2 linked regions of the Saccharomyces cerevisiae S288C genome follow. Changing the gene in region 1 together with any one later gene gives a genetic interaction. Each region holds a gene or a part of one and is shown in the gene's direction. Other genes may lie near its edges.

Evidence for each region. Genes that interact genetically often act in the same process or in processes that back each other up.
Region 2: mutations in STR3 (region 1) and PDC6 together harm fitness more than expected from each alone (negative genetic interaction), as found in Saccharomyces cerevisiae (one large-scale study listed by BioGRID).

What each region holds. Positions count from the first base shown.
Region 1 is NC_001139.9:153,766-158,094, reverse strand, and holds STR3 (cystathionine beta-lyase STR3), read left to right. Parts: upstream 1-2,082; coding exon 2,083-3,480; downstream 3,481-4,329. Other genes in the region: GTS1 (Gts1p), read right to left, coding at 1-189; MND1 (Mnd1p), read left to right, coding at 810-812, 896-1,552; YGL185C (putative hydroxyacid dehydrogenase), read left to right, coding at 3,789-4,329.
Region 2 is NC_001139.9:650,790-655,142, reverse strand, and holds PDC6 (indolepyruvate decarboxylase 6), read left to right. Parts: upstream 1-2,161; coding exon 2,162-3,853; downstream 3,854-4,353. Other genes in the region: CTT1 (catalase T), read right to left, coding at 1-509. UniProt on the Saccharomyces cerevisiae protein: Minor of three pyruvate decarboxylases (PDC1, PDC5, PDC6) implicated in the nonoxidative conversion of pyruvate to acetaldehyde and carbon dioxide during alcoholic fermentation.

The sequences.
Region 1 (4,329 bases):
GCTACCGAAAACTTTTCTATGAACAGAGGCACACCTACCACAAAGGAAAACCCCCAAATTAACTGAGCACCAAGTTGGGTAGAAATTACCACATTCACCGCATTTATTGGCATTCTCGGACGAATTAATCAACTCCTTTAATTCTCTGTCAACATGTTTTAAGCTATGGGAAGAACTCCTAAACCTCATTTTTGACTAAGTATAAATAAACTATAATCTGTGATTGACAGAACGCTGCCTCCATCTATATTAATGATTGATCAAGAGAAAATGTTCTTCTTCCACCCTTTTGTGAAGCATTTAGAGATCAACACTAACTTTCTTCAACTTACAATAATTTCCGGGTGCCCCCATTTATCGATTACCCGGATCCGCTTTGCATCATAGTGTGTCGTTGTCGAAACAAAAGCGCCGTATTATTTGGTCAACGTTTAATAAAGTAAAAGCAGCATTTGAGATGCTCTATACAACCTTCTTAATTGCAACCGACATAAAGGTATGTTTTTCTCTTCTTATTATGACAAGGGAAACTTGAAGAAGAATTCGTGTCTTGCCATAATTTCAGCATCATCGTCTCAACCTAAGCCTCTTCTCACGAAGGCACGCTCAAATATCTTTCTGGCTCTAAAAATCTTGAATAACGAACCGAATTTACCATCTTTCCTGCTTTTTTATGCGTCGAAAAAAAGTAAAATAACCGCCCAGATCACGAAATTGCATATAAAAGGCGATCTCCCGTCCCACCGTTATTCTTTGCGATATAGACTAAACGGCGGAAACTTTATGTGTAGTATCATAAACATTCAACAATGGTATGTCTAATAAAACCATCATGGTACACAGGACTGAACACTAACTTATAGACGGGTGCGTGCTACCCTCTTCTTATTATTAGGGGCCAAAGAGACAGACAGTATCACTCCAAGAGAAAAAGAACCGGATTCTGAACTTTTTTCAAGAGACGTACACATTCTACAACATCAAGGAATTAGAGAAAAGCATACCTAAAAAATGCGGAATCTCACCCATGATCGTTAAAGATTTAGTGCAACAAATGATTGATGAAGACGGCGTCATTTCGGTGGAAAAATGTGGTAATATTAACATCTACTGGTGCTTTAAAAATCAGACACTGCAAAAATTGTATGATTCAAGCGAGTTGATAAAAAAAAAGATACAGGAAGTAAAGTGTGATATTGCCACTTATAAACAAGAACTAGACAAAACGCTAGCAACTGGAAGGCGTAAAAAATTTACGGTAGGCCAAAAATCATACAATAGGGAGGCTCTACTGGAAAAGAGAAAAAAAATTCAGGATGAAATTAAGAAAAAGAGTAATAGTCTCCAAAAAATAGAAAGCATTAGATGGGATGCAGCAAAAATACAAGAGAATAAACAACAGATCCGCCTAAAAAAAGTGCATCTGGAGAAAACTACTGATAACATTGAGATTCTCATTGATTATTTATACAAGAAATTCTTTTTGAAGCCAGAACAGATAAGAAAAGAATTTGGAATTCCAGAAGAGTTCAAGGAATTTACGGAGGTTTAACCTTCATGCACTATACACGAAAGAACAAAAGTGTCTTGATTATTACATCTACATTTCCAGGCATAGAGCTTGCAGATTAGCCGCCCATAAATTTGCCACACTGTTTTCCGTGGCGCCACAGTCCGCGTTTGGTTATCCGGCTGACTCATTCTGACTCTTTTTTGGAAAGTGTGGCATGTGCTTCACACAATATAATTCCCGTGAGCACAGCATGCTTCGGGCCGAAGTCTGTTGGAGGCATATGCTCCTACCTTGGAAGACTCATCGCATCTCAAAAGTGTGTAAAGGGGCCTTCTGGCCATATATCCTCTGAGACCTGGTTGAAATGTGGCCAGAAGCAAAGCTGATAAAAACAACTGGCGCATACGTAGCTATATTTTAAATAAATAAATAAATAAATATATATATATATATATATATATATATACATATATATACAGTCATTGCCACACATCCCATAGCTCTGTGTGCTTACAGTTCATTAAAAACAAAAAATATCAAGCAAACAACAAAAGCATAGAAGCAAAAAGATGCCGATCAAGAGATTAGATACAGTTGTGGTAAATACCGGCTCTCAAAATGACCAACATTCAGCCTCCGTGCCACCGGTGTATTTGTCGACTACCTTCAAAGTGGACTTGAATAATGAAGATGCACAGAACTACGATTATTCCAGATCGGGAAACCCGACCAGAAGTGTCCTTCAACACCAGATTGGTAAGCTTTATCGTGTCCCACAGGAAAACGTATTAGCTGTGAGCAGTGGTATGACGGCGCTAGACGTCATCCTGCGTGGGCTCGTCTTACTTAACGGCACTGACAACCATACGCCAACAATAATAGCCGGCGATGATCTTTATGGAGGCACCCAAAGGCTGCTGAATTTTTTCAAGCAACAGAGTCATGCAGTCTCTGTTCATGTGGACACTTCCGATTTTGAAAAGTTCAAAACCGTTTTCCAGTCTTTAGATAAAGTTGATTGTGTTCTTCTAGAGTCTCCGACCAATCCGCTTTGCAAGGTTGTAGATATCCCTAGAATATTACGTTTTGTGAAATGCATATCTCCCGACACTACAGTTGTCGTTGATAATACTATGATGAGTGGACTCAATTGTAATCCTCTTCAACTGAATCCAGGCTGCGATGTCGTATACGAATCTGCTACCAAGTACTTGAATGGTCATCACGATTTGATGGGGGGTGTTATTATCAGCAAAACACCAGAAATAGCCTCGAAGCTTTACTTTGTCATTAATTCTACAGGAGCTGGATTATCCCCAATGGATTCTTGGCTACTTGTGAGGGGCCTAAAAACTCTAGGAGTTAGATTATATCAACAGCAGAGAAATGCTATGATATTGGCTCATTGGCTAGAAAATTCATGCGGATTCAAACCTACCAGAACAAACAAGGCTACGAAAACTAGATTTGTTGGATTACGCTCCAACCCGGATTTCAAGCTGCATAAATCGTTCAATAATGGCCCAGGTGCCGTGTTATCCTTCGAAACGGGGTCCTTCGAACATTCAAAGAGACTGGTCAGTTCCAAAAAACTGAGTATATGGGCTGTGACGGTATCTTTCGGGTGTGTAAATTCGCTTCTATCTATGCCTTGCAAAATGTCCCATGCTTCCATTGATCCCGAATTAAGGAAAGAGAGAGATTTTCCTGAAGATTTGGTTCGTCTTTGCTGCGGTATCGAAAATATAGTAGATTTGAAGAAAGATTTATTAGCGGCGATGGTTGACGCTGATATTATAGAAGTAAGAGAAAATGGCAAATATCTTTTCAACAAATTGAATAAGAACCTAGCTGTGAACACTACCATCGATGACCTGCATAAGCCTTTAAGTATTTACGAAGAATTTTACAATCAAGATCTCATCAGAAAGGACTCAGAATTGAATATTAAGAGTTCGAAATTGTAAGGGAAAATATGCATGTACCTTTTTTTTTTTTTTTTATAAGGTTCAAATCCAAAGATAGTAACTTTAAATAGTCAAGTATATAGACAGAATTTCAAGAACAGTAAGTATATTAAACTTTTACAGCCTTTCGGGCTGTTCCGTAAGCTCTTACTACTACCCTTGGGAAACGCACGCGCGAAGGAGGAAAGTTTGCCTCAATGAACGTGTGTAATGGCGGTCGTAAAAGGAATATAGAAATAGCTGTGCTTTTATAACTTCACTCGACAATGGGTTGACAGCAGATTTAGAAGGAAAAGAGCATACAAAAAATGTGCGATTCTCCTGCAACGACTGGAAAGCCTACTATTCTTTTCATCGCAGATCCGTGCGAAACATCAGCCACACTTAATTCCAAGGCATTCAAAGAGAAGTTCAGGATCTTGCGCTATCAGCTGGACACCAAAGAAGCATTTCTTAACTTTTTAGAAAGGCATGAACAAGACAAAATATGTGCCATTTATGCTGGGTTTCCGGCATTCAAAAAAATCGGTGGGATGACTCGAAGTATCATCGAACACAAGTCATTTCCAAGGAAAAATTTAAAATGTATCGTGCTTTGCTCAAGAGGTTACGACGGATGGGATCTGGATACATTACGCAAGCATGAAATTCGATTATACAACTACCAAGACGATGAAAATGAAAAATTGATAGACGATTTAAAGCTTCATCAAGTCGGTAATGATGTGGCAGATTGTGCCTTGTGGCACATTCTGGAGGGCTTTAGAAAGTTCTCCTATTACCAAAAACTTAGTAGAGAAACTGGAAATACATTAACTGCAAGGGCGAAAGCTGCAGAAAAGAGCGGAT
Region 2 (4,353 bases), 500 kb from region 1:
TCCTGAAACTGATTCAGATGAGACTGAGGGTCTCTCTTTTGCGAATGAATAAATACGGGAAACTTAATAGCGTCTCTGAGGAAGAAGACGGGAGTATTGTTGAAGACCCAGTCATGGTTCCCCCACTCGGTATAGAATTTAAAAGAAACACCTCTTGGGTCTCTTGCAGTGTCTGGTGTACCACTTTCACCACCAACGGTGGAAAAACGAACAAGACCAGGACATTTGTAACCCACATTCTGGTATGGAGCGGCGTATGTAATATCACTCAAAGAATCTGTTAGTTCGAACTCCAGTCTACAACCACCACCTTTGGCATGGACTACACGCTCCGGAACTCTTTCTCTATCGAAACTTGCAATATTTTCCAGCAGATGGAAGTCTTGCAGTAAGATAGGGCCGTCTGGTCTTGAGTATTGAGAAGCGTATGGGTGATGAGAGTACGGAAAACCGTTTTGTAGAGAGTAAACTTTTTCTTGCTTTTCTTCTTTTTTACCGAACACGTTCATTTGTGAAGCTGAGCTGATTGATCTTATTGGCATGAGACAAGAGAAGGATTTTTTTAATAAGGGCAAGTAACGACAAGATTGAGTTCTGGAATAGAGGTAAAGCAACGACTTCTTATACGTGTAGCAGTAGGGGATACGATAAATGCACAATGTGTCCAGGCTACGTCGAATCCTTACAAATTCTACCTGTTGAGGGAGTCGGGGGCATTATCGGCTAGGCTAGCCTGCAGCCAGAGGGTGAAGTGAACTATACTTTTTCAGCATACGAATAGTACTGGCAATGACAATAATAACCCTTCTGGATCGGCGACGTACTCATCATTGATAGGAGGAAACAATACGCAATTTCACCGCTTGGCCCCTTACCGGTGATCCCCTTGAAAAAGAGGGCCGTCCGCGGTCTTGGCTTAGGGTCTCTGTGAAAGCACGCAGGAGAGCTGCTCAACGCGGAATGGAGATAACGGAGGTTCTATCCCCATGTGCCTCGTCATCGGTTCCTCATCATCTCTGGCTTCTTGAATTCGTTTTATTGTCACCATACAATAAGTTTGACGTCGTGAAGGCAGTTTAGTTCTCGGACTTGCAACCCCTAATCTTCAACGTCGAAAATACCTTATGACGCATATTTTAATTTTCCATCTCGCAACTAATGCTACCCTATTTTCTCTTACCAGCGAACACAATTCAAAAATTCTTAATGTTTAGCAGCTCATGCTGATATCGTATTACTATTATTACTGTGGTCATGCTAAAAAGCTGACTTATTCAATTTAATTTTTTTCTTTTCTTTTATGTTTTGATAGACAAAGGTTTTTTTTTACCTAAAATTCCTCTTTCCTCACGGACCATACGATTAAAATCATGGAAATTAAGTATTACAGTCGGTAATTTCTTTCTGGTTTTGTAAAGCCTGAAAAAATATACTAATATAGTGCAGGCGATCGTACATCTTCCAAGCATCTCATAAACCTATGCACTGTGGATTCTATGTACTTGGCAATAGATGAGCATTTCAATGAAGGAAACGCCTGAGTCAGTTATGTAAAAAGTACTACGTACGGACCAATCGAAGTGTGTAAGAGAATGTGACATCAATTGTTGTTGCATTATGTCCATTGGAATATGCAGATCGGCTGTGGCATTTGGCCAAAATGTTATAGAGTTCACACCTTATTCACATACTTTTTCATTTTCTGTGGCTTTCAAGGGTGGGGGCGGTAGTGATAACCATTCTCTAAACAAAAGCCCATGTCCCACACCAAAGGATGTTTTTTTATATCACGTTCCCTTTTCATAAAACACAAAAGAACGAATACTTTTTAAGCCGAATGAGTGACAGAAAAAGCCCACAACTTATCAAGTGATATTGAACAAAGGGCGAAACTTCGCAAAAAAAAAAAAAAAAGAAAAAGATAGTGTAGTAGTGATAAACTGGTGCTTCAATTTCTTTTTATGAATTGATCTGTATCTGCACCTAGATCGATTTGATTACAGGATAAGGGATATGGTGCGATTCGCGAGCTTTTACCAATATGTATAAAAGGCGGCTGTTTGAAGCCATTCTATCTTAATCTTGTGCTATTGCAGTCCTCTTTTATATACAGTATAAATAAAAAACCCACGTAATATAGCAAAAACATATTGCCAACAAAATGTCTGAAATTACTCTTGGAAAATACTTATTTGAAAGATTGAAGCAAGTTAATGTTAACACCATTTTTGGGCTACCAGGCGACTTCAACTTGTCCCTATTGGACAAGATTTACGAGGTAGATGGATTGAGATGGGCTGGTAATGCAAATGAGCTGAACGCCGCCTATGCCGCCGATGGTTACGCACGCATCAAGGGTTTATCTGTGCTGGTAACTACTTTTGGCGTAGGTGAATTATCCGCCTTGAATGGTATTGCAGGATCGTATGCAGAACACGTCGGTGTACTGCATGTTGTTGGTGTCCCCTCTATCTCCGCTCAGGCTAAGCAATTGTTGTTGCATCATACCTTGGGTAACGGTGATTTTACCGTTTTTCACAGAATGTCCGCCAATATCTCAGAAACTACATCAATGATTACAGACATTGCTACAGCCCCTTCAGAAATCGATAGGTTGATCAGGACAACATTTATAACACAAAGGCCTAGCTACTTGGGGTTGCCAGCGAATTTGGTAGATCTAAAGGTTCCTGGTTCTCTTTTGGAAAAACCGATTGATCTATCATTAAAACCTAACGATCCCGAAGCTGAAAAGGAAGTTATTGATACCGTACTAGAATTGATCCAGAATTCGAAAAACCCTGTTATACTATCGGATGCCTGTGCTTCTAGGCACAACGTTAAAAAAGAAACCCAGAAGTTAATTGATTTGACGCAATTCCCAGCTTTTGTGACACCTCTAGGTAAAGGGTCAATAGATGAACAGCATCCCAGATATGGCGGTGTTTATGTGGGAACGCTGTCCAAACAAGACGTGAAACAGGCCGTTGAGTCGGCTGATTTGATCCTTTCGGTCGGTGCTTTGCTCTCTGATTTTAACACAGGTTCGTTTTCCTACTCCTACAAGACTAAAAATGTAGTGGAGTTTCATTCCGATTACGTAAAGGTGAAGAACGCTACGTTCCTCGGTGTACAAATGAAATTTGCACTACAAAACTTACTGAAGGTTATTCCCGATGTTGTTAAGGGCTACAAGAGCGTTCCCGTACCAACCAAAACTCCCGCAAACAAAGGTGTACCTGCTAGCACGCCCTTGAAACAAGAGTGGTTGTGGAACGAATTGTCCAAATTCTTGCAAGAAGGTGATGTTATCATTTCCGAGACCGGCACGTCTGCCTTCGGTATCAATCAAACTATCTTTCCTAAGGACGCCTACGGTATCTCGCAGGTGTTGTGGGGGTCCATCGGTTTTACAACAGGAGCAACTTTAGGTGCTGCCTTTGCCGCTGAGGAGATTGACCCCAACAAGAGAGTCATCTTATTCATAGGTGACGGGTCTTTGCAGTTAACCGTCCAAGAAATCTCCACCATGATCAGATGGGGGTTAAAGCCGTATCTTTTTGTCCTTAACAACGACGGCTACACTATCGAAAAGCTGATTCATGGGCCTCACGCAGAGTACAACGAAATCCAGACCTGGGATCACCTCGCCCTGTTGCCCGCATTTGGTGCGAAAAAGTACGAAAATCACAAGATCGCCACTACGGGTGAGTGGGATGCCTTAACCACTGATTCAGAGTTCCAGAAAAACTCGGTGATCAGACTAATTGAACTGAAACTGCCCGTCTTTGATGCTCCGGAAAGTTTGATCAAACAAGCGCAATTGACTGCCGCTACAAATGCCAAACAATAAGCCATTAGTAGTGTACTCAAACGAATTATTGTTGCAAATAAATAAACTTACACAGTTTGAATACATAAATCAATCAGACAAATAAATACATCGGTTCAAATTATACTAAATCTAAATACTACGTTATCGCCGTGAATTACGCAATTCGCATGTTACGTACTGCGCGTCTCTTGTTGAATATTTACCAATTGGGAAAAAGAACTCGTATTTCATTCCCCTTTTTGGAAAGGGGTGGGGAGAGACTGTTGTTCAGCCACGTCAATTATTATTTTTTCTTTGGCCCTGCGCTTGTCTTATAAAATTCCGCAGCCGCCTCTTATTTTTTTTTTTTTCGATTTTTGGCCCACAGGTCATATTGCAAAAACCGAATGGCCGCGCCCCCCTCACGCACGGGACGGAAGAAGGGCGGCGTCCCCTGTTTTTCTGCTTTGGCTCATCTCTTTGGCTCCGACGGACGAAAGACGGGATTCCCCCTCCCGTGTCTTTTTATAAATAACAAG